2 linked regions of the Anolis sagrei genome follow. The protein of the gene in region 1 binds, or shares a complex with, the protein of each later gene. Links are inferred from orthologs where the notes say so. Each region holds a gene or a part of one and is shown on either strand. Other genes may lie near its edges.

Evidence for each region. Proteins that work in one complex are often made in the same cells at the same time.
Region 2: the proteins of POR (region 1) and HMOX1 are in contact, whole or in part, in a crystal structure (PDB 3WKT), measured with the Rattus norvegicus proteins. The link is inferred for Anolis sagrei from reciprocal best matches to the Homo sapiens genes POR and HMOX1. Residues at the interface, in NP_113764.1 of Rattus norvegicus: Thr88, Thr177, Asp208, Asp209, Arg313, Arg514, Lys515, Gln517, Arg519, Leu520, Phe522, Lys523, His626, Lys665, Met667, Thr668, Lys669, Gly670, Tyr672; in NP_036712.1 of Rattus norvegicus: Asp12, Ser14, Glu15, Gln38, Ala75, Pro76, Glu81, Lys149, Ile150, Lys153, Ser171, Asp173, Asn174, Thr176, Lys177, Phe178, Lys179, Gln180, Leu181, Arg183, Ala184, Arg185, Asn187, Thr188.

The regions. Positions count from the first base shown.
Region 1 is NC_090031.1:33,154,151-33,164,338, forward strand, and holds the start of POR (NADPH--cytochrome P450 reductase), read right to left. Parts: upstream 4,778-10,188; 5' UTR 4,651-4,777; intron 1,876-4,650; exon of another isoform or gene 1,761-1,875; intron 1-1,760. UniProt on the Homo sapiens protein: This enzyme is required for electron transfer from NADP to cytochrome P450 in microsomes. It can also provide electron transfer to heme oxygenase and cytochrome B5.
Region 2 is NC_090025.1:167,337,849-167,348,261, reverse strand, and holds the start of HMOX1 (heme oxygenase 1), read left to right. Parts: upstream 1-6,368; 5' UTR 6,369-6,484; coding exon 6,485-6,504; intron 6,505-9,493; coding exon 9,494-9,617; intron 9,618-10,413.

The sequences.
Region 1 (10,188 bases):
CCACATCTATGGCAGGTATCCCCAAAGGTTGTGAGGTCAGAGATGTGGGCGAAACCGCAGGAGACAATGCTTCTGGAACATAGCCATACAGCCCAGAAAACTGACAGCAACAGCAACCCAGGAATGGAAGTTATTTTTTTCCAAATTATGTTACATAGTGTTATTATTATCACTACCTCTGAGGATGCTTGCCATAGATGCAGGCGAAACGTCAGGAGAAATGCCTCTAGAACATGGCCCTATAGCCCGAAAAAAACCCACAAGAACCTAGTGTTATTATTGTTTACATTTCTCTTTCCTCTCTGAAAAGAGGCCCAAATCAGCTCACAACAGCAAACAAACAAACAAAACAAAAAAGACCAAAACAATACACCTTCCAATTTAAAGCCCACAATGTATAAACACATGAATAGAATTACACGCAGAACTATCAAAAACAAAGACTCCAAAGTCATGTAGAACCATGAAAAACTATTATATTGCTGAAAAAACCACACAGTACCCACATGACAACCTGTCCCTCCAGGACAAGGCTGGGAAAAGAGGGGGAAATGGGGAGAGGGACCCAAAATTGCTGGTCAATCATCACCATCAGCTGCCTCTGCTCTCGGCTTGTAAACAGAGGGATAATTAAAACACATCTATTAAAATACACACAGCGTTATTAAAAGGAACCTAGGAGGTCATCCAAAACCTAAGACCCTCCCCAATGCAAAAAGGAAGCCAGGAATAGAGCTAAGACCCTCCCTAATACAAAAAGAGAGTCAGGAAGAGAGCTAAGACCCTCCCCAATACAAAAAGAAAGACAGGAATAGAACTAAGATCCTCCCCAATACAAAAAGGAAGCCAGGAAGAGAGCTAAGACCCTCCCCAATACAAAAAGAAAGACAGGAATAGAACTAAGACCCTCCCCAATACAAAAAGGAAGCCAGGAAGAGAGCTAAGACCCTCCCCGATACAAAAAGAGAGTCAGGAAGAGAGCTAAGACCCTCCCCAATACAAAAAGAAAGACAGGAATAGAACTAAGATCCTCCCCAATACAAAAAGGAAGCTAGGAAGAGAGCAAAGACCCTCCTCAATACAGAAAGGAAGCTAGGAAGAGAGCAAAAACCCTCCCCAATAAAAAAGGAAGCCAGGAATTGAGCTAAGACCCTCCTCAATACAAAAAGGAAGCCAGAAAGAGAGCTAAGACCCTCCTCAATACAAAAAGGAAGCTAGGAATAGAGCTAAGACCCTCCTCAATACAAAAAGGAAGCCAGGATTTGAGCTAAGACCCTCCCCAATACAAAAAGGATGCCAGGAATTGAGCTAAGACCCTCCCCAATACAAAAAGGGAGTCAGGAATACAACTAAGACCCTCCCCAATACAAAAATGGAGTCAGGAATGGAGCAAAGACCCTCCCCAATACAAAAAGAAAGAGAGCTAAGACCCTCCCCAATACAAAAAGGAAGGAATAGAGTTGACCCCCTCCCCAAAATACAAAAAGGAAGCCAGGAATATAACTAAGGCCTCTCAAAACCAAAAGGAAGGAAGGAATAGAGATAACACACTCCCCAATACAAAAATATAGCTAAGACAACCCTCAAAATATATAAATGGCACCCCCCACACACCTCAATGAACCTCCCCTCTCTCAATGTCCATCCCTTTAGGTCCAAAGTCCGGCCCTTGAGTCACTTTTTCCCCCCAAAGCAGAACCCCGGAACCAAAGACCCCCGGAACCCCCAAACGGGGCTCGTGTCCCCCTTCGGGCCCTCACCGGGAGACGCTCCACTGAGCCAAAGCGGACGACCGTCGAGTGGCGAGAGAAACAGCCGACTCTCAGCCAGGCCAAGACTCCCCAGGGGGCGGGGCTACAGCTCTGGATCGTACCACTGCTCCGAGAGGGGGGAAGCAAGGAATCAAAAAAGCCACACTCCCAACTCCATTTCCCAACCTCCCATTTTGCACCCCTCTCCGTCTTTACTTTTCTTCCCCCCCCCCCCCACACACGAAGGGTTGCCAGGGGAAACCATTCCCCTCCAAGGGAAGTCTAAACTCACCGCTGAACACCCCCCCCTTCTCCCGCAGTGGTACGTCCCACACAGTCCTCAGCTGACAGGAGAGAAAAGAGGCTGTGGTTTTACGCATGCGTACTAGCGAGGTTTTTTTGCGCACGCGTACTAATGAAGGAGGAGGGAGGATTCGAGAGCTTGCCCTTTCAGTGGGGTTTCTGGCAGAACTGGGCACAGCTTGGAAAAGTTACTTTTCCTGATGACAACTCTGTGTGTATGTGTATGTATATATATATATATACATACATACAGTATAAGTGTATATATTATATATTGTGCGTATATATGTATATGTATATATGTGTGTGGATATGTGTATATATACATACAAACATATGTATATATACACATATCCACACACACACACACTTATTTGTATATACTTATGTGTGTATACAAATGTAGGAATATATGTATATAGGTGTGTATGTATGTATGTGTATATATGTGTGTGTGTGGATATGTGTATATATACATACAAACATGTATATATACACATATCCACACACACATATATACATACACATATGTGTATATATATACATACAAACATGTATATATACACATATCCACACACACACACATACTTATTTTTATATATTTATGTGTGTATACAAATGTAGGAATATATGTATATAGGTGTGTATGTATGTATGTATGTATGTGTGTATATATATACACATAAGGTATATGTGTATATATATTGTGTGTGTATATATGTATATATGTGTGTGTGGATATGTGTATATATACATACAAACATGTATATATACACATATCCACACACACATATATACATACACATATGTGTATATATATACATACAAACATGTATATATACACATATCCACACACACACACATACTTATTTTTATATATTTATGTGTGTATACAAATGTAGGAATATATGTATATAGGTGTGTATGTATGTATGTATGTATGTGTGTATATATATACACATAAGGTATATGTGTATATATATTGTGTGTGTATATATGTATATATGTGTGTGTGGATATGTGGATATATACATACAAACATGTATATATACACATATCCACACACACATATATACATACACATATGTGTATATATATACATACAAACATGTATATATACACATATCCACACACACACACATACTTATTTTTATATATTTATGTGTGTATACAAATGTAGGAATATATGTATATAGGTGTGTATGTATGTATGTATGTATGTGTGTATATATATACACATAAGGTATATGTGTATATATATTGTGTGTGTATATATGTATATTTGTGTGTGGATATGTGTATATATACATACAAACATGTATATATACACATATCCACACACACACACATCCAGTTCAACCCCCTTCTGCCATAAAGGAAGACACCATCCGATCCCTCCCAACAGATGGCCACTCAGCCTCTGTTAATTAATCTATATTAGTATCTTTAGTTGGAAAGGACCCCAAGGACCATCCAGTTCAAAACTCTTCTGCCATAAAGGAAGACACCATCCGATCCCTCCCGACAGATGGCCATCCAGCCTCTGTTAGTTAATCTATATCAGTATCCTTAGTTGGAAAGGATCCCAAGGGTCATCCAGTTTAACCCCTTCTGCCATAAAGGAAGACACCATCCGATCCCTCCCGACAGATGGCCATCCAGCCTCTGTTAATTAATCTATATTAGTATCTTTAGTTGGAAAGGACCCCAAGGACCATCCAGTTCAACCCCCTTCTGCCATAAAGGAAGACACCATCCGATCCCTCCCGACAGATGGCCATCCAGCCTCTGTTAGTTAATCTATATCAGTATCCTTAGTTGGAAAGGATCCCAAGGGCCATCCAGTTCAACCCCCTTCTGCCATACAGGAAGACACCATCCGATCCCTCCCGACAGATGGCCATCCAGCCTCTGTTAGTTAATCTATATCAGTATCCTTAGTTGGAAAGGATCCCAAGGGCCATCCAGTTCAACCCCCTTCTGCCATACAGGAAGACACCATCCGATCCCTCCCGACAGATGGCCATCCAGCCTCTGTTAGTTAATCTATATCAGTATCCTTAGTTGGAAAGGACCCCAAGGACCATCCAGTTCAACCCCCTTCTGCCATAAAGGAAGACACCATCCGATCCCTCCCGACAGATGGCCATCCAGCCTCTGTTAGTTAATCTATATCAGTATCCTTAGTTGGAAAGGATCCCAAGGGCCATCCAGTTCAACCCCCTTCTGCCATACAGGAAGACACCATCCGATCCCTCCCGACAGATGGCCATCCAGCCTCTGTTAATTAATCTATATTAGTATCTTTAGTTGGAAAGGACCCCAAGGACCATCCAGTTCGAAACTCTTCTGCCATAAAGGTAGACACCATCCGATCCCTCCTGAAAGATGGCCATCCAGCCTCTGTTAATCTATATTCATATCTTTAGTTGGAAAGGACCCCCAAGGCCATCCAGTTCAACCCCCTTCTGCCATACAGGAAGACACCATCCGATCCCTCCCGACAGATGGCCATCCAGACCCCCTTAAATCATCCTATCCCACTGTTGGACAGCTCAGGCTGCCTATGGTCGAGCTCTATGGGATTGAAACTCACCGTATCGGAGACTGTTCTGTTCCTACGAGGCGTTCTTTTGCCGGCTCTTTGTGCTGATCCAAGATAGTCAAGGCCCGCAGCTTTGTCCTTTGCCACCGGCTGGCTGATGATCCCACAATCACAAGACCTTTGCCCTGGAGCCTCCCTTATTTAACTGCGGAGCTGAGTTAAATAACTTGCCAGGTGCCAAGAAAGAACAAGCAGAAAATTATAAAGTGGGTGGAGAAAGAAGAGAGCCATTGGGATCGTCATTGCGGGCCGGAAATGGAAAGGATGTCCTCCTGGGCTCATCTGGTTTCCTCCACCTCCATTTCCCTCTCCTCGTATGCATCTACACTGTGAGATTAATTCACTTTAAGCACCACTCTACTGATTTATAACTTTACTTACTCACTTTGTTTACATCCTGTTTTTGTTCCAAAACAGGGACTCAAGGCATGATTATCCCCAAGGGTGGGGTCAAAGGTCTCCTGAAAGCACCGGAAGAGACCCCCAAAGGGCATCCAGTCCAACCGCTTTCGGACCGGCAGAAAGGCACAGGCAAAACCCTCTCAACAGATGGCCCTCCCATTGGATGATGTGTGATTGAGTTGCCTTCTCTGGAGGTTCTTGAAGCAAAGGCTGGATGGTCATCTCTCCGGAAGGCCTTCATGCTGTCTTTCCTTATGACAGAAGCGGGTTGGACTGGATGGCCTTTAGGGTCCCTTCCAACTCTAAGTTTCTATGATATGTATGTTTAGCAGAGGGAGGATGACTATCTGTCGAGAGGGATTGGATGGTGTCTTCCTGCCTGGCGGAAGGGGTTGGACTGGATGGCCTCGAGGGTCCCTTCCAACTCTAGGATTCTATGATATGTATGTTTAGCAGAGCCTGGATGGCTATCTGTTGAGAGAGATTGGATGGTGTCTCCCGGCCTGGCGAAAGAGGGTTGGACTGGATGGCCTTTAGGGTCCCTTCCAACTCTAGGGTTCTATGATATGTATGTTTAGCAGAGGCTGGATGGCTATCTGTTGAGAGAGATTGGATGGTGTCTCCTGGCCTGGCGAAAGAGGGTTGGACTGGATGGCCTTTAGGGTCCCTTCCAACTCTAGGATTCTATGATATGTATGGTTAGCAGAGGCTGGATGGCCATCTATATACCGGCGGAATAATGTCCAGCGTAGGAGAGAGAACTCTTGTCTGTTTGAGGCAAGTGTGAATGTGACAATTGGCCACCTTGATTAGCATTTGATGGCCTTGTAGCTTCAAAGCCTGGCTGATTGCTGCCTGGAGGGAACCTTTGTTGGAAGGTGTTAGCTGTCCCTTATAGATTCTTGTCTGGAATTTCCTTGTTTTTTGAGCATTGCTCTTTATTTACTTTACTGATATTGCTGTTCCTTCGTTCAGTCGTTTCCGACTCTTCATGACCTCATGGACCAGCCCACGCCAGAGCTCCCTGTTGGCCGTCACCACCCCCAGCTCCTTCAAGGTCAATCCAGTCACTTCAAGGATGCCATCCATCCATCTTGCCCTTGGTTGGCCCCTCTTCCTGATATTAGAGTTTTTTTAAATACTGGTAAAATTCCCACTGGGCAGCAATCAGCCAGGCTTTGAAGCTGCAAGGCCACTAAATGCTAATCATGGTGGCCAGCCCGGAAAACCCACAGCCACCCAGAACTATCGGAGATCAGAGTTTTGTGGGATCGGCAAAGGCCTAAGGGGGTTGGACTGGATGGCTCGAGAGTCCCTTCCAACTCTAGGATTCTATGATATGTATATTTAGCAGAGCCTGGATGGCTATCTGTTGAGAGAGATTGGATGGTGTCTCCCAGCCTGGCGAAAGAGGGTTGGACTGGATGGCCTTTAGGGTCCCTTCCAACTCTAAGATTCTATGATATGTATGTTTAGCAGAGGAGTGGATTCATTGCCCCACTAACTTTATATAATGCCAAAAAGATAATTCCGAGCTCACCTGGGACGTGTAATTGAAGACACACGCGTGTCCATGCACGCCTATGTGTTTGGCAATGGCCCACGATGAATTATACATGTTGGCCAATTAAAAAGGCTTATCTGGCGCTCAACACGTCTTTCATGTCCGCCTCCAGAAGGCGCATGAGCTGCAATTGAAATGCAAGGCCGGAGTGGAAATGCACCGAGCATCAGCCTGATGCTTAATTATCATGCTCTCCCAAGGTTTCCTTCCCAAAGGTCATCCTGCCCTCTCCATCTTGGGCGGCTCAAAAGGCCCATGCAATATGCAGTGTTGACCGCGAGGGAAGCCTTCTTCTGCTTGGCCAAACCTTCTCACCCAGGACAACCCCATGTCCAGTTCTGGGCAAAGCCACTCAAGGTGGAAGGGAAACCAAAATGACAGGGTTTGGCCTCCGGCGAAATGGGAGGAACAAGCCACCAATCTGGACCCACTTCCAGGATGTGCTTAATGGGAGAGGTGCCCTGCACTAATCATTAAGGTTACTACAGATAGTATCAAGGCCTCGGAGGTGAGGCAACTGGTTCCATGAAGGTGCCCATCTGAATCACAAAGTCCACCAGTCCGAAAGATCAACAATTGCATTATCAATGCCAATCTATCAGAGATCTGTTAGGAGTATTTGTTATTGTTGCTGACTTCTTCTTCTCCACCTTCTTCTTGTCTTCTTCTCCTTCTTTTTCTCTTCTCATTCTCTCCTTCTTTTCTTCTCCTTCTTCTCCTCCATCTTTTTCTTCTCTCCGCCTTTTCATCCTCTCCTTCTTCTCTTCTTCTCTTTCTGTTTCTCCTTCTCCTCCTCTCCTTCTCCTCCATTTCCTTCTCTTCTTCCTCTCCATCTCCATCTCCTCCGCTTCTCCTCTCCTCCGTCTCCTTCTCATCCTTTCCTCCATCTTCACCTTCTCCATCTCCTTCTCCTCCATCTCCTTCTCCTCCTTCTCAATTTCCTTCTCTTCTACTTCTCCTCTTCTCCTCCTCTCCTTCGTCTCCTTCTGCATTTCCTTCTCCTCTTCTCTTCTGTCTCCTTCTATTCTTTCCTCCATCTTCACCTTCTCCATCTCCTTCTCCATTTCCTTCTCTTCTCCTTCTCCTCCTTCTGCCTTCTTCTCCTGCTGCCTCTCCTTCTCTTCTCCTTCCCCTCCTCCCCTCCGTCTCCTTCTCCATTTCCTTCTCTTCTCCCTCTACATCGCCTTCTCCTCCTCTCCTTCTTCTCCTTCTGCCTCTCCTTCTCTTCTCCTTCCCCTCCTCCCCTCCGTCTCCTTCTCCATTTCCTTCTCTTCTCCCTTTACATCGCCTTCTCCTCCTCTCCTTCTCCTCCTTCTGCCTTCTTCTCCTGCTGCCTCTCTTTCTCTTCTCCTTCCCCTCCTCCCCTCCGTCTCCTTCTCCATTTCCTTCTCTTCTCCCTCTACATCGCCTTCTCCTCCTCGCCTTCTTCTCCTTCTGCCTCTCCTTCTCTTCTCCTTCCCCTCCTCCCCTCCGTCTCCTTCTCCATTTCCTTCTCTTCTCCCTTTACATTGCCTTCTCCTCCTCTCCTTCTTCTCCTTCTGCCTTTCCTTCTCTTCTCCTTATCCTCTTCTCATCCTCCCCTCTGTCTCTTTCTCATCCTTTCCTCCATCTTCACCTTCTCCATCTCCTTCTCCTCTTCTTCTCCTCTCCTCCATCTCCTTCTCCTCCTCCCCTCCTCCACCCCTCTGTCTCCTTCTCATCCTTTTCTTCATCTTCACCTTCTCCATCTCCTTCTTCTCCATTTCCTTCTCTTCTCCTCCTTCTCTTTCTTCTCCTCTCTTCCGTCTCCTTCTCATCCTTTCCTCTATCTTCACCTTCTCCATCTCCTTCTCCTCCTCCATCTCCTTCTCCATTTCCTTTTCTTCTCCTTCTCCTCCTCTCCTTCTGCATTTCCTTCTCTTCTCCTTCTTTTCCTCTCCTCTGTCCCCTTCTCATCCTTTCCTCCATCTTCACCTTCTCCTTCTCCATTTCCTTCTCTTCTCCTTCTCCATCTCATTCTCCTCTTCCTCTCCTCCTCTCCTCCATCTCCTTCTCCATTTCCTTCTCTTCTCCTTCTCCATCTTCTCATCTCCTTCTCCTCCTCTCCTCCCTCTCCTTCTTCTCCATTTCCTTCTTCTTGAAATAGAGCAATTTGAACCGGCTGCAGATGATGAGATCCTCGTTGTGGATAGCGAAACCTGAACCGCGGATACCAAGTCCCATTAAGTTGGGGGGGGGGGGCTGGCAGTACCCCACTTTCCACATTGCAATTTCCCCTTTTTCCCAGGAACGGATTCATAATCCTATCATCATGGACAATATTCTGTTTAAAAATACAGTGGAAGCACCAGACCCACACAGTTGGGGCTCATAAATACAACAATCACAACATTAGACCTAAAGGTCCCACTTTGTTCGTCCCGGAGTTGGGACAAGGTAATCCAACCATAAAACTACGTCTCCTCTGTGTGAAGTTTCCATTTTGCGCTCTGTCAGCCATTGGAGGGCAGAAATCTGCATTAGGAGTGGAGAATGCTCTCTGATTGGCTGGCGGGCACCACAGTCCCACCTCTGCGGGGAATCCTCCATCAGCTATTCTGACATCATCAGAGCTTGGCCAATCACTGCTCCGTCAGGTCCAGCTGGACGGGAGCGGGAATTTCAAAATATTGGGTGGACTGTCGCTGGTACTGGTAACCACGTATCGGATACCGGTAACCATGTATCAGGTCTCGGTATCCGCGGTTCAGGTTTCGCCATCCGCGGCTCAACTCTCACTATCCGCAGCCATTTTAAATGGCTCTATTTCACATGTGAAAGGGAGTCAAGGGGCTTGGTAAACCACAAGCTGAACGTGAGCCAAGACTGTGATGCAGCAGCTAAAAGGGCCAACACGATTCTAGGCTGCATCCAAGGGAGGATAGTGTCCAGAACAGTGGTTCTCAACCTTCCTAATGCCGCGACCCCTTAATACAGTTCCTCATGTTGTGGTGACCTCCAGCCATAACCCTAACGTTATGAATCACCATGTAAATAATGATCTTCAGGATGTATTTTCATTCACTGGACCAAATTTGGCACAAATACCCGGTATGCCCACATTTGAATACTGGTGGGATTGATTTTGTCATTTGGGAGTTGTAGTTGCTGGGATTTATAGTTAACATGTAAACAAAGAGCATTCCAAACCCCACCAACAATGGAATTGAACCAAACTTGGCACAGAGAACTTCCATGACCAACAGAAAATACTGTAAGGGTTTGGTGGGCATTGACCTTGAGTTTGGGAGTTGTAGTTCGCCTACATCCAGAGAGCACTGTGGGCTCAAACAATGATGGATCTGGACCAAACTTGGCATGGATACCCAATATGCCCAAATGTGAACACTGATGGACTTTGGGGAAAATAGACTTTGACATTTGGGAGTTGTAGTTGCTGGGATTTATAGTTCACCTACAATCAAGGAGCGTTCTGAACCCCACCAATGATAGAATTGGGCCAAACTTCCCACACAGAACCCCCATGACCAACAGGAAATCTGTGTTTTCTGAAAGTCTTTGGCGACCCCTCTGACACCCCTTTG
Region 2 (10,413 bases), on another chromosome or scaffold:
TCAGGAGGATGCCACGCTTGACAAAGCTTCCTTAGAGTATGTCATGTTCCTCTCATGATCTTGCTTTTTATCTGTGTTGCATGATTTACTGAGTCAGAGCAACCCATGCTGAAGCATAACATCTCTCAGTCCTTCACTATGAACAACCATGCTTCAATGAATCCAGAAACCAAAGGATTACAGTCTATTTTCATGGAATCCTAACCACATGGCTTAAACCAGCATGTGGCATGATTAATAGGTGAGCACTTAGAGCAGTGACGAGGAAGCATGTCAGAGTGAAAGGCCAGATTCCCAGCTCTATACTTTTGGCCACACCATCTGACATCATCAGGTTCCTGACTTGGCAAGGCTTTTCACCTGGCACAACCACAAGGAACCCAACTTCTCTCCTCTTTCCTCTCTCCATTATAGCATTCGCTCTGTGTTTTGTTTTATTTCAAATTAGCTTCAACAATGCGAAAATGAGTTCTTTCTCTCAAAGATTTTCATGGTGGGAAAGCACCAGTGGAGACTGTGGTGGAGGATCTAGAACGGTGGTTCTCAACCTGTGGGCTGTGACCCAGCAGTGGGCTACGAGAATGGAAATCCAGTCCACAAACCTCCTTCCTCTTTATTTTATTTTATTCTATTTCTGCTCCTTTCTGCAGAGCTGACCAGTCCCTCCTCTTTTGGTACTAACGTTGGAAAGTGGTCCCTGGTCAAGTGGTTCCCGGTCAAAGTGGTCCCCAGTCAAGTGGACCCTGGTCAAAGTGGGTCCTGGTCGAACAAAGCTTCGGAACCTGATCTAGAGATTCCCAGAAAAGTGTTTTCTCAGGTTATTTACTTCACTTTTTTTTCACTTAGGTCGGGGTCCTGTACCCTAACCCCACCCCATGGCAGCAGAGTACATACAGTACTTTCATTTCTTCTTCACTATTCACTGTTGTGTTACAGCTGGATAAAAATGATTAGCTTAATTTTGCAATTATTGGGCATCTTTCAGTCTCCACAAAACTGTTAATACATCCCCTTAGGAATAGCTCTTTCCTGTTGCACAGCTGCGCATGTTGCTCCTTGACTCAGCACTTCCCTTCATTGTTGTTTTTGCTGAGTCATTGTCAGATACATCCCAAAAGGAAACATTCCTTTTGCTGAGTAACACATACATCTTCCTCCAAGTTTGGCGTCTGGCTGTGTTCCCTGCAGCTCGAACAAAGACAGCAAGTCTGGAAAAGAGCCTAAGGCTGACTTTCAGATTTATTTTCATGTTCACTAGGAATATAGAGAAGCTTTTTTGAATCAAGTCAAGTTTATTATTATAATCTACACATCAAACGTAAAGTCCATTAAAATGCATTAAACTTGCACTAATATACAACATAATTGCCTAACAAAGCACTGATATATAACATAATTGCCTGACATGCCAGTTATTTGAACTCTTCTTGTAATTACATTGTATGAAGACACTGGCACTGCTTTTTAACAGAAATATTTTTTTCTCTTCAAAACAAGTTGTTCATAATTTAGCTGAACTAGCAGGTAAGAAAATCAAGAATCAGGAAATAAATTTCTCATTGAAATTCATTATAAAAATAATGAGAGATATAGTAGTAATTAAAAAAATTACATTAGCACCACAAGGGCACAAAGGAAAAGGATGTCAAGATTTGGTGAATATTTTATATTATAAGTGTATCAGTCATGAGGCTAAAGAGAGAGGCATAAAGATCTCTCATATATATGACACCTATGTGCGTTGCATTGAACTTATGAGGTGGGGGAGGGGGAGGAAAAATGGGATACATAGCTAATAAAGAAAATTCTTTGAAAATGCAATGAATTAGTGGTGATAATGGAGGCAATACTGAACAAACTATGGAAAATGTTTCCTCATGGTTTTGGCAAAGCTGGGGTTTTTTGGTTTTGTTCTTTGGAAAACCACAGGAAGGGAAGAACTAAACTAAACAATTGTTCTCTCTTTTCCCCAAACACCCAAAAGTGAATGTTCTCATTCACCTACCCCACATGGCACCATACACACACAAAAAGATATGATTGTATTAAATGTCCATGAAATACCGTCCTATTAATTTGCAGAAAACAAAAAACTTGATGAGATGAGGACATGGTATAGAGCAGGGGTCCTCAAACTAAGGCCCAGGGGCCGGATACGGCCCTCCAAAGTCATTTACCCGGCCCTCACTCAGGGTCAACTTAAATCTGAAAGGACTTGAAAGCACACAACAACAACAACAACAACAACAACAACAACAACAATAACAATCCTATCTCATCAGCCAAAAGCAGGTCCACACTTCCCATTGAAATACTAATAAGTTAAAATTGCTCTTCATTTTAATTATTGTATTGTTTTAAAGTGGGTTTTTTTTGCACTACAAATAAGATATGTGCAGTTTGCATATGAATTCATTCATTTTTTTCTTATTATAATCCGGCCCTCCAACAGTTCTAGGGGCTGTGACCTGGCCCTCTGTTTAAAAAGTTTGAGGACCCCTGGTATAGAGCATTCTCTGCAAAGAGGTTGCTGGCTGGAGTATTGAGAGCAGTACTTAGAGATAGAACATTTTTGCAGGTCCTGAGTATTTCTGGCATTTATTGCTTATTGGGTATGGGTATTGTTTGGAGCCACCCAATACCTGCATATATTTATTCAGCATTACCATTCTGCCTCAGCCTTCCTTTGTGGAGTATCTGGCTTGGGTGCTTTTTTCTATAACATAAAAGCCAACATGAGGAGTAGAGCAACAAAACACAGATAATAAAATTCCATTAGTAGCAGAAAAGTAACTTCACTTGAGATGCAGTTGTCCTTGCCCTGTGCGAAGCTAATCGCTCCATTCTTAGCCAGACACCAGCAAAAAAATAAGTAATTTAAAATGATAAAAAGAATTTGAATACAATTTGAAACAGTCTAAAATAATGTGAACAATGTAAACAATTTAAAACAAGTTCAAACTTTATATACCAATTCCATCAAATATACAAACACGCCCAGATGGTAAAGAGACATATTTTATAATGGTGCCCAGTTGAAGTCCTTGTTTGTTAAATAAGCCTCAGAGGAGAGGACATTTCACAACTGTGATGGTACAACAGAAAAGTCACTATGTCTTCACATCCATCAGATCTCAGTTCTCAGGTAAATATTTAAAGAGAGAGGGGTGATCTTTGAAAAGCGGCAGTCATTGAAGACTTATCTGTCATCACAAACATTCATATCAGAAACATATTGGTAGTCTGTTGGCCATCATCTCTCTCAACTTAATAGTAAAACCAGCTGATGAAAGCAATACATTTATCACCTCATTTTTGAAAGAACCCAAGGGGTGCTCACCAATGCTTCCTCGTCATCCTGGAAAGAAGTGATGAATGGAATGCCACAAAGTTCTGTTCTGGGCCGGCCCTGTTCAACATCTTTATTAATGTCTTAGATGAAGGGTTAGAAGGCATGATCATCAAGTTTGCAGATGACACCAAATTGGGAAAGATAGCCAATACTCCAGAAGACAGGAGCAGAATTCAAAACTATCTTAACAGATTAGAGAGATGGGCCAAAACTAACAAAATGAAGTTCAACAGTGACAAATGCAAGATACTTAGGCAGAAAAAAATGGAATGGAATGGGGGACACCTGGATTGATAGCAGTACGTGTGAAAAAGATCTTGGAGTCTGCATGGACAACAAGTTAAACATGAGCCAACAAGGTGATGTCTAGTGTCCAGGTCCAGGGAAGTTATGCTACCTCTCCATTCTGCCTTGGTCAGACCACACCTGGAATCACACTGTGTCCAGTTTTGGGCACCACAATTGAAGGGAGATGTTGACAAGCTAGAATGTGTTCAGAGGAGTGTGAGTAAAATGATCAAGGGTCTGGAGAACAAGCCCCATGAAGAGCGGCTTAAAGAGCTGGGCATGTTTAGCCTGAAGAAGGGAAGGCTGAGAGGAGACATATGGCCATGTATAAATACATGAGGGGAAATCATAGGGAGGAGGGAGCAAGCTTGTTTTCTACTGCCCTGGAGACCAGGATGCAGAACAATGGCTTCAAACTACAGGAAAGTAGATTCTACCTGAACATGAGGAAGAAGTTCCTGACTGTGAGAGCTGTTTGGCGGTGGAACTCTCTCTTTCTGCCCCAGAGTGTGGTGGAGGCTCCTTCTTTGGGGGTTTTTAAGCAGAGGTTGGATGACCATCTGTCAGGGGTGCGTTGAATGCGATTTTCTGGCTTCTTGATTCTATGATTCATTCATTTAACCTTTACAACAATCTAGTAAATTAGGCTGAGATATAATGTGCAGCCTAAGGTCATTCAACATGCGTTATAGCTAAGCAAGATTTCAAAGCCAGGTCATGCCACCCATTTCTGTCTCCAGTACTGCACACTCTATATGAATTATTCTTAATCCCTGACAATCATGATGACTTTGTGACATTACATGGATCATATTGTATTGTACTCATTGCTCCTTTTCTATTCTTCCCATTTCAAATAGAAACATTATAATAAACCACTGGACAAAAATAACAACCAAATGGGTGATATCAGTGAAACTCCGATGTAACACTACTTATTACAGGCACTGATAGCAGGTAAAGATAAGATTGGGTGGAAGCATCTTTTGTGCTTCAAGTAGGGTAAAAGGAAAGTATTCCTTCTGAAGGTTTTCATCTCTGCTACTTCCTTTTAAAGGTAAATTATGTCAAGAATTCCTCAGTCATGGGTGAACACAATGCATCTGTCACCTCACATGGATCCATTGAATACTTATCCACAAATGTGGCTCCTTGCTGTGTCATATTAAGATTCAACAGCATGATGGTGAGGACATGGTGACTCCTGGCAGAATTGTATAACTGTTTTATATTTGATACCAAGAATTTGTACAGCAGCAATACAGCTATCGGCAGAGCTGAGAACATTTTGCAATAGGGTTTGTGATTTCTCCAGTTGCTTCGAAAGGAGAAAAGAGAAGTTGAGAAGCTCAGCTGAGTCAGCAGGACTGTCACTGCATGTCATACGTCCTAAAGGGTCACTCGGTCACTCACCTCAATTAAAATGTCTGCCTTTCCAGTTAAACAACACTTTTGTATATTTCAATAATAGAGTGGTGCTGAATCTGCATTAAATATGCAGATGGACAATCAGGTTTGGGGAACCTTGAACTTAGGGCAGTGGTTCTTAACCTGTGGGCCGTGGACCACCAGTGGGCCACGAGGACAAAAATCTGGTCCATGAGCCTTCTTCATCTTTATTTTATTTTATTTTATTTTTGCTCCTTTCATGCCACCTGCCACTCCTTCCCTGTCACTGACCATGGCATATATTCTGTATCAGAAACTAGAGCTGATATGGTCTATTCAATACAATTTTCTGAATCAGCACTCTAAACTGACTCTAAAGTTGATCAAAAACTGATTTGTAACTCTTTTGGTAGAAATGTTGCAGAGTGGTCCCTGGTCAAGTGGTCCCTGGTCAAAAAAAGGTTGGGAACCACTGACTTAGGGCCATGTTCCCTTCCAGTGTAATTTGTCAGTTGGTGGACAAAGACCCCTTCTTCTTTTCTTATATTATTGTTAATAATACCCTGCCTTATCTTCCCAAAGGGGACTCAAAGAAGCTTTTATTTGCCTCATCTTTGCCTCACCCTGTTTTCTTTCTCCACTCTCTTTCCCCCTCTTTTAAGGAATAGGAACACCTGGATATTTTGATGTTTATCATCCTTGTGGGAGGCTCCTCTCATGTCCCCACATGGGGAGCTGAAGCTGGCAGTGGGAGCTCATCTGAGCTCTCCCCGGATTTGAACCTCTGACCTGTCAGTCTTCAGTCCTGCCAGCAAAAGGGTTTTAACCCATTGCGCCACCGAGGACAGTTCTTAGCACATTGTATTTCCCATCACTGATTTGAGTTTTGTTCTAGTTTGTTTTCCATTTCACTCTAAATATAGCAGCAAAGGTGTTTTCCTGCATCATCTTCTCTCTTTGCATTCTTCATACATGCTGTTTTTTCTCTTTAAAAACAAAGGCAAAGACACATATGCTTTTATTTAGAATCATGGCTCTCACTAGTCATATACACAATATAAAGTTTTCTGTGACTTCAAATGAAGAAAAGGCGTTAATCATGTGGTTGGACAAAGTACCTAGCATATATATTTTAAAGAGCTGTTTCTCGCCATCCTGTCTTGCTGAGTTGTCAAATTGCATCAAGTGACTTTTCCTCCTCCCTAAAAGGGGAAGAAGCCACCCCACTGAGAGAGAGAGGGGACACAAAAGGCATAGATGTCTCTATATTGTGCAAAGGGACTGTACAGTGAGGTCAGATGTTTCCTGGGCTGAGCACGTGACCTGCAAAGAGGCATATAAAGGAAGATGCCAGCGCCGGGCAGACACACTCAGAAACTTCTCCGACTCTGAGCGGGAGGAAAGAAAACTCAAGGCACGCAGTAACATCCCGGAGGAAACGAAAAGCAGGCGAGGATGGCACACAGCTCGGAAAGGTAAGGAGGACAAGTGGCGAGGTCTCCTTTCCCCAGAAACCCACGCTGGATTTTGCAAAGCTTGTTTCAGGGTGCATCTACACCAGGCATGGGCAAACTTCAGCCCTCCGGGTGTTTTGGACTTCAGCTCTCACAATTCCCAACAGCCTGCTGTTAGGAATTATGGGAGTTGAAGTCTAAAACCCTTGGAGGGCCGAAGTTTGCCCATGCCTGCTCTACACTGTACAATTAATGCAGTCTGACACCACTTTAACCAGGGCTCAGTGGTATGGCATCCTGGGAGCTGGATTTTTACAAGGTCTTTCATCTTAGATGCCAAAGAAGGCTCATGCCTCCACAAACTACAGCTCCCAGAATTTCACAGCATCAACACAGGGAAAACTGCATTAATTCTACAATTAATGCACAATGTCAAACTGCATTAATTATACAGTGTAGATTTATTTATTTATTTATTTATTTATTTCTATCCCACCCATTTCAGCCCGAAGGCAACTCAGGGCGGCATACAAAATCGGCACAATTAGATGCTGTGTGCATATATACACAAATATATACACACACACACACACACACACACAACACAGTTAAGAACAATTACATTACATCATAAATGCATATAAAACATAAAGGCAATAAAAACTATATAAGTCTATATACAAGTACGTTTTCTCACTATCTGCACATGTACATCAGAGTTTTCCAAATTCTAACTTTGAGATTCAGGACACTATTATAACTTTTCAGATGTTTACTATGCATATATATATCCTGTACATGTGTGTGTGTGTATATTGCAGTTTGTGTAAACTAAGGGCCCTGCCACATAACCCTATATCCCAGAATATCAAGGCAGAAAATCCCACAATATCTGCTTTGAACTGGGATATCTGAGGCCACACTGCCACATATTCCAGTTCAAAGCAGATGATGTGGGATTGTATACAGCTGTTCGGAGGGGGCCTCAGAGTTTGGTTTATTTTGCACCTGGATCCAATTGTTAGATACCAGTGTTCCAATATGCAATAAAGTATATTTTGCACACTTGCTCATCCATGGCTTAACTCTACTTACAGGGCCTTTCCACACAGCCCTATATACCAGAATATCAAGGCAGAATTTTTTATTTATTTATTTATTTATTTACTTTATTTATATACCGCTTTTCTCAGCCCTCAGGTGACTCAAAGCGGTGAACAACATTGATACAAAACATCACGAGACAAGTATAGGGCAATTAAAAACAATTGTAACATAAATCATTAACATCAGAATAATAATCATTAGCGCCTCAACAGTAAAATCAGAATCCAGTCTCATCATCCATTATTCTGTATTCCTATGTTCAATTATACTGTTTAATCAAATGCTTGTTCGAACAGCCAGGTCTTCACTTTCCTCCAAAACGCCAGCAGGGAGGGGGCCGATCTGATATCTGCAGGCAGGGCGTTCCACAGCCGAGGGGCCACCACTGAGAAGGCCCTGTCTCTCGTCCCCGCCAAGCATGCCCGTGATGCAGGCGGGTCAGAGAGCAGGGCCTCCCCAGATGATCTTAGTGTCCTAGTCCCACAATATCTGCTTTGAAGTGGGTTGAGTCCACACTCAGATAATGTGGGATTTTCTGCCTTGATATTCTGGGATATAGGGTTGTTGCTGTCAAAAGGTGGTTCTCAAAGTTTTCTTGATGCTGGTTTAGGGATTCAGTACACATTACATTGACTTTTCAAAGCTCTGACGTGTACTATACGTATATCTTCTGTACATATGTGCGTATATATTAATGCTTATGTGTGCTGAGTGTTATATTTGATGCTTGAGTGGACTGGATCTTTCTAAAGCTATTTCCCCCCCCCCCCCTCTAAATTGGTGGTTCTCAAAGCTTTTATTGAGAATTTGGGACATTATAGTATGTTTTCTAAGCTCTGGTTTATGCTATACACATGTATTATGTACACATGTGTACATGGATTATAGTTTATGTGAGCCGAGTGATACATTTGATGCTCAAATGGGCTGTATTTTCCTCCCCCAAGCTTCATCCCCACTAAAACAGTGAGTCCCAAATGCTACTCCTCTAGGCACTGTGAACTTCAACTCCTAGGGCTCTTCCACACAGTCATATAGCCAGAATATCAGGGCAGAAAATGCCACAATATCTGCTTTGAACTAGGTTATCTGAGACCACACTGCTATATATTCCAGTTCAAAACAGAAAATATGGGATTTTATTCAACTATGTGATGGGGCCCCCAGAAGCTTCAACCACCTCAACCAACAAATAAGGATTCTGGGAATCAAAATCCAAAACACCTGGAGGTCCACAGTTCAGACAACATTTCATCAGTTTGCCTTCAAGGTCCCAGTTGAGCATCCCATGTCCAGAATTCTCAAATCTAAAACTGTCCACATAATTGGCAGGGATAATGATATGTTTGCATTCTGAGAGTATTCAAAATGTGTTTCATGCTCAACAACCTCAAGACAGATAATTCACAATATCTGCTTTGAACTGAGGGCCCTTCCACACAGCCCTATATTCCAGAATATCAAGGCAGAAAACCCCGCAATATCTGCTTTGAAATGGGATGTATGGCAGTGTGGACTCAGATAACCCTGATGTGTATAAGGCGTATAGTAAGTTTCCCCTGACATTAAGTCTAGATGTGTTGGACTCTGGAGGATGCTGCTCATTTCCATTTCTAAGCCAAAGAGCCAGTCTTGTCCGTAGACACCTCCAAAGTGATGTGACTGGCATGACTGCACAAAGCAATACCTATTGATCTACTTACATTTGCATGTTTTTGAACTGCTAGGTTGGCAGAAGCTGGGCCTAACAGCGGGAGCTCACAGCACTCCCCGGATTCAAACCTTTTGGCCAGCAAGTTCAGCAGCTTAGCGGTTTAACCTGTTGTGCCACCAGGTGTATACAAAGCATAAACGAATTTCGTGTTTTGACACTTCTTTCTGAATTCAAACCTCTTTTCAACAGGATGTCCCATCGGGATTTGTCAGAAGCTCTGAAGGAAAGCACTAAAGAGGTCCACGTCCAGGCGGAGAGCACTCAGTTCATGGAGAGCTTCCAGAAGGGGCAGGTGTCCCTCCGTGAATTTAAGGTACCTGTGGGTTACTTTATAGGACTTATAGTCGCAATCAGAAATGGGGAAACTTTGAGATTTCATAAAATGGAAAATGTGGGGTTGGAATGTTTTATATAAAATAAAACTGTCAATATCCTGCTATTTTAATAGCCTGTGTCTAAGTTAATAGGGATCCCTTCCACGGTCTTTGAATAAGAGCTGTGCTGCCTCAACTAGTTAGTAGGAGCCCCCGGTGGCGCAGTGGGTTAAACCCCTGTGCCGGCAGGACTGAAGACTGACAGGTTGCAGGTTCAAATCCAGGGAGAGGCGGATGAGCTTCCTCTATCAGCTCCAGCTCCTCATGCAGGGACATGAGAGAAGCCTCCCACAAGGATGATAAAAAAACATCAATTCATCCAGGCGTCTCCTGGGCAACATCCTTGCAGACAACTAATTCTCACACACCAGAAGCAACTTGCAGTTTCTCAAGTCGCTCCTGACACAACACCAAAAAAAAAACTAGTTAGTCCCAACAGGGCCTGAATCCTGCTGTGATTTCCAGCTAAAGGAGATCAATTGCTCCAATGGGAGTTGCCTGTGTATAAACTCATCATTTAATATTTGATTCAATGGGACTACCCTCATTGGTTTTAGGACAGTTTAGCTTTCAGGGTGAAATGTTCACTTTTAACAATGTTAAGTAATTTAAAAAGTTTTCGCTTGTTAGTATAGTATAGTAATGTATATACAGTCAGCGCAAAGTATCCATGGATTTTACCATCCAGTGCTTGAAAAATATTTTTTTGATCCCCCAAAACCTTGATTTTGACAT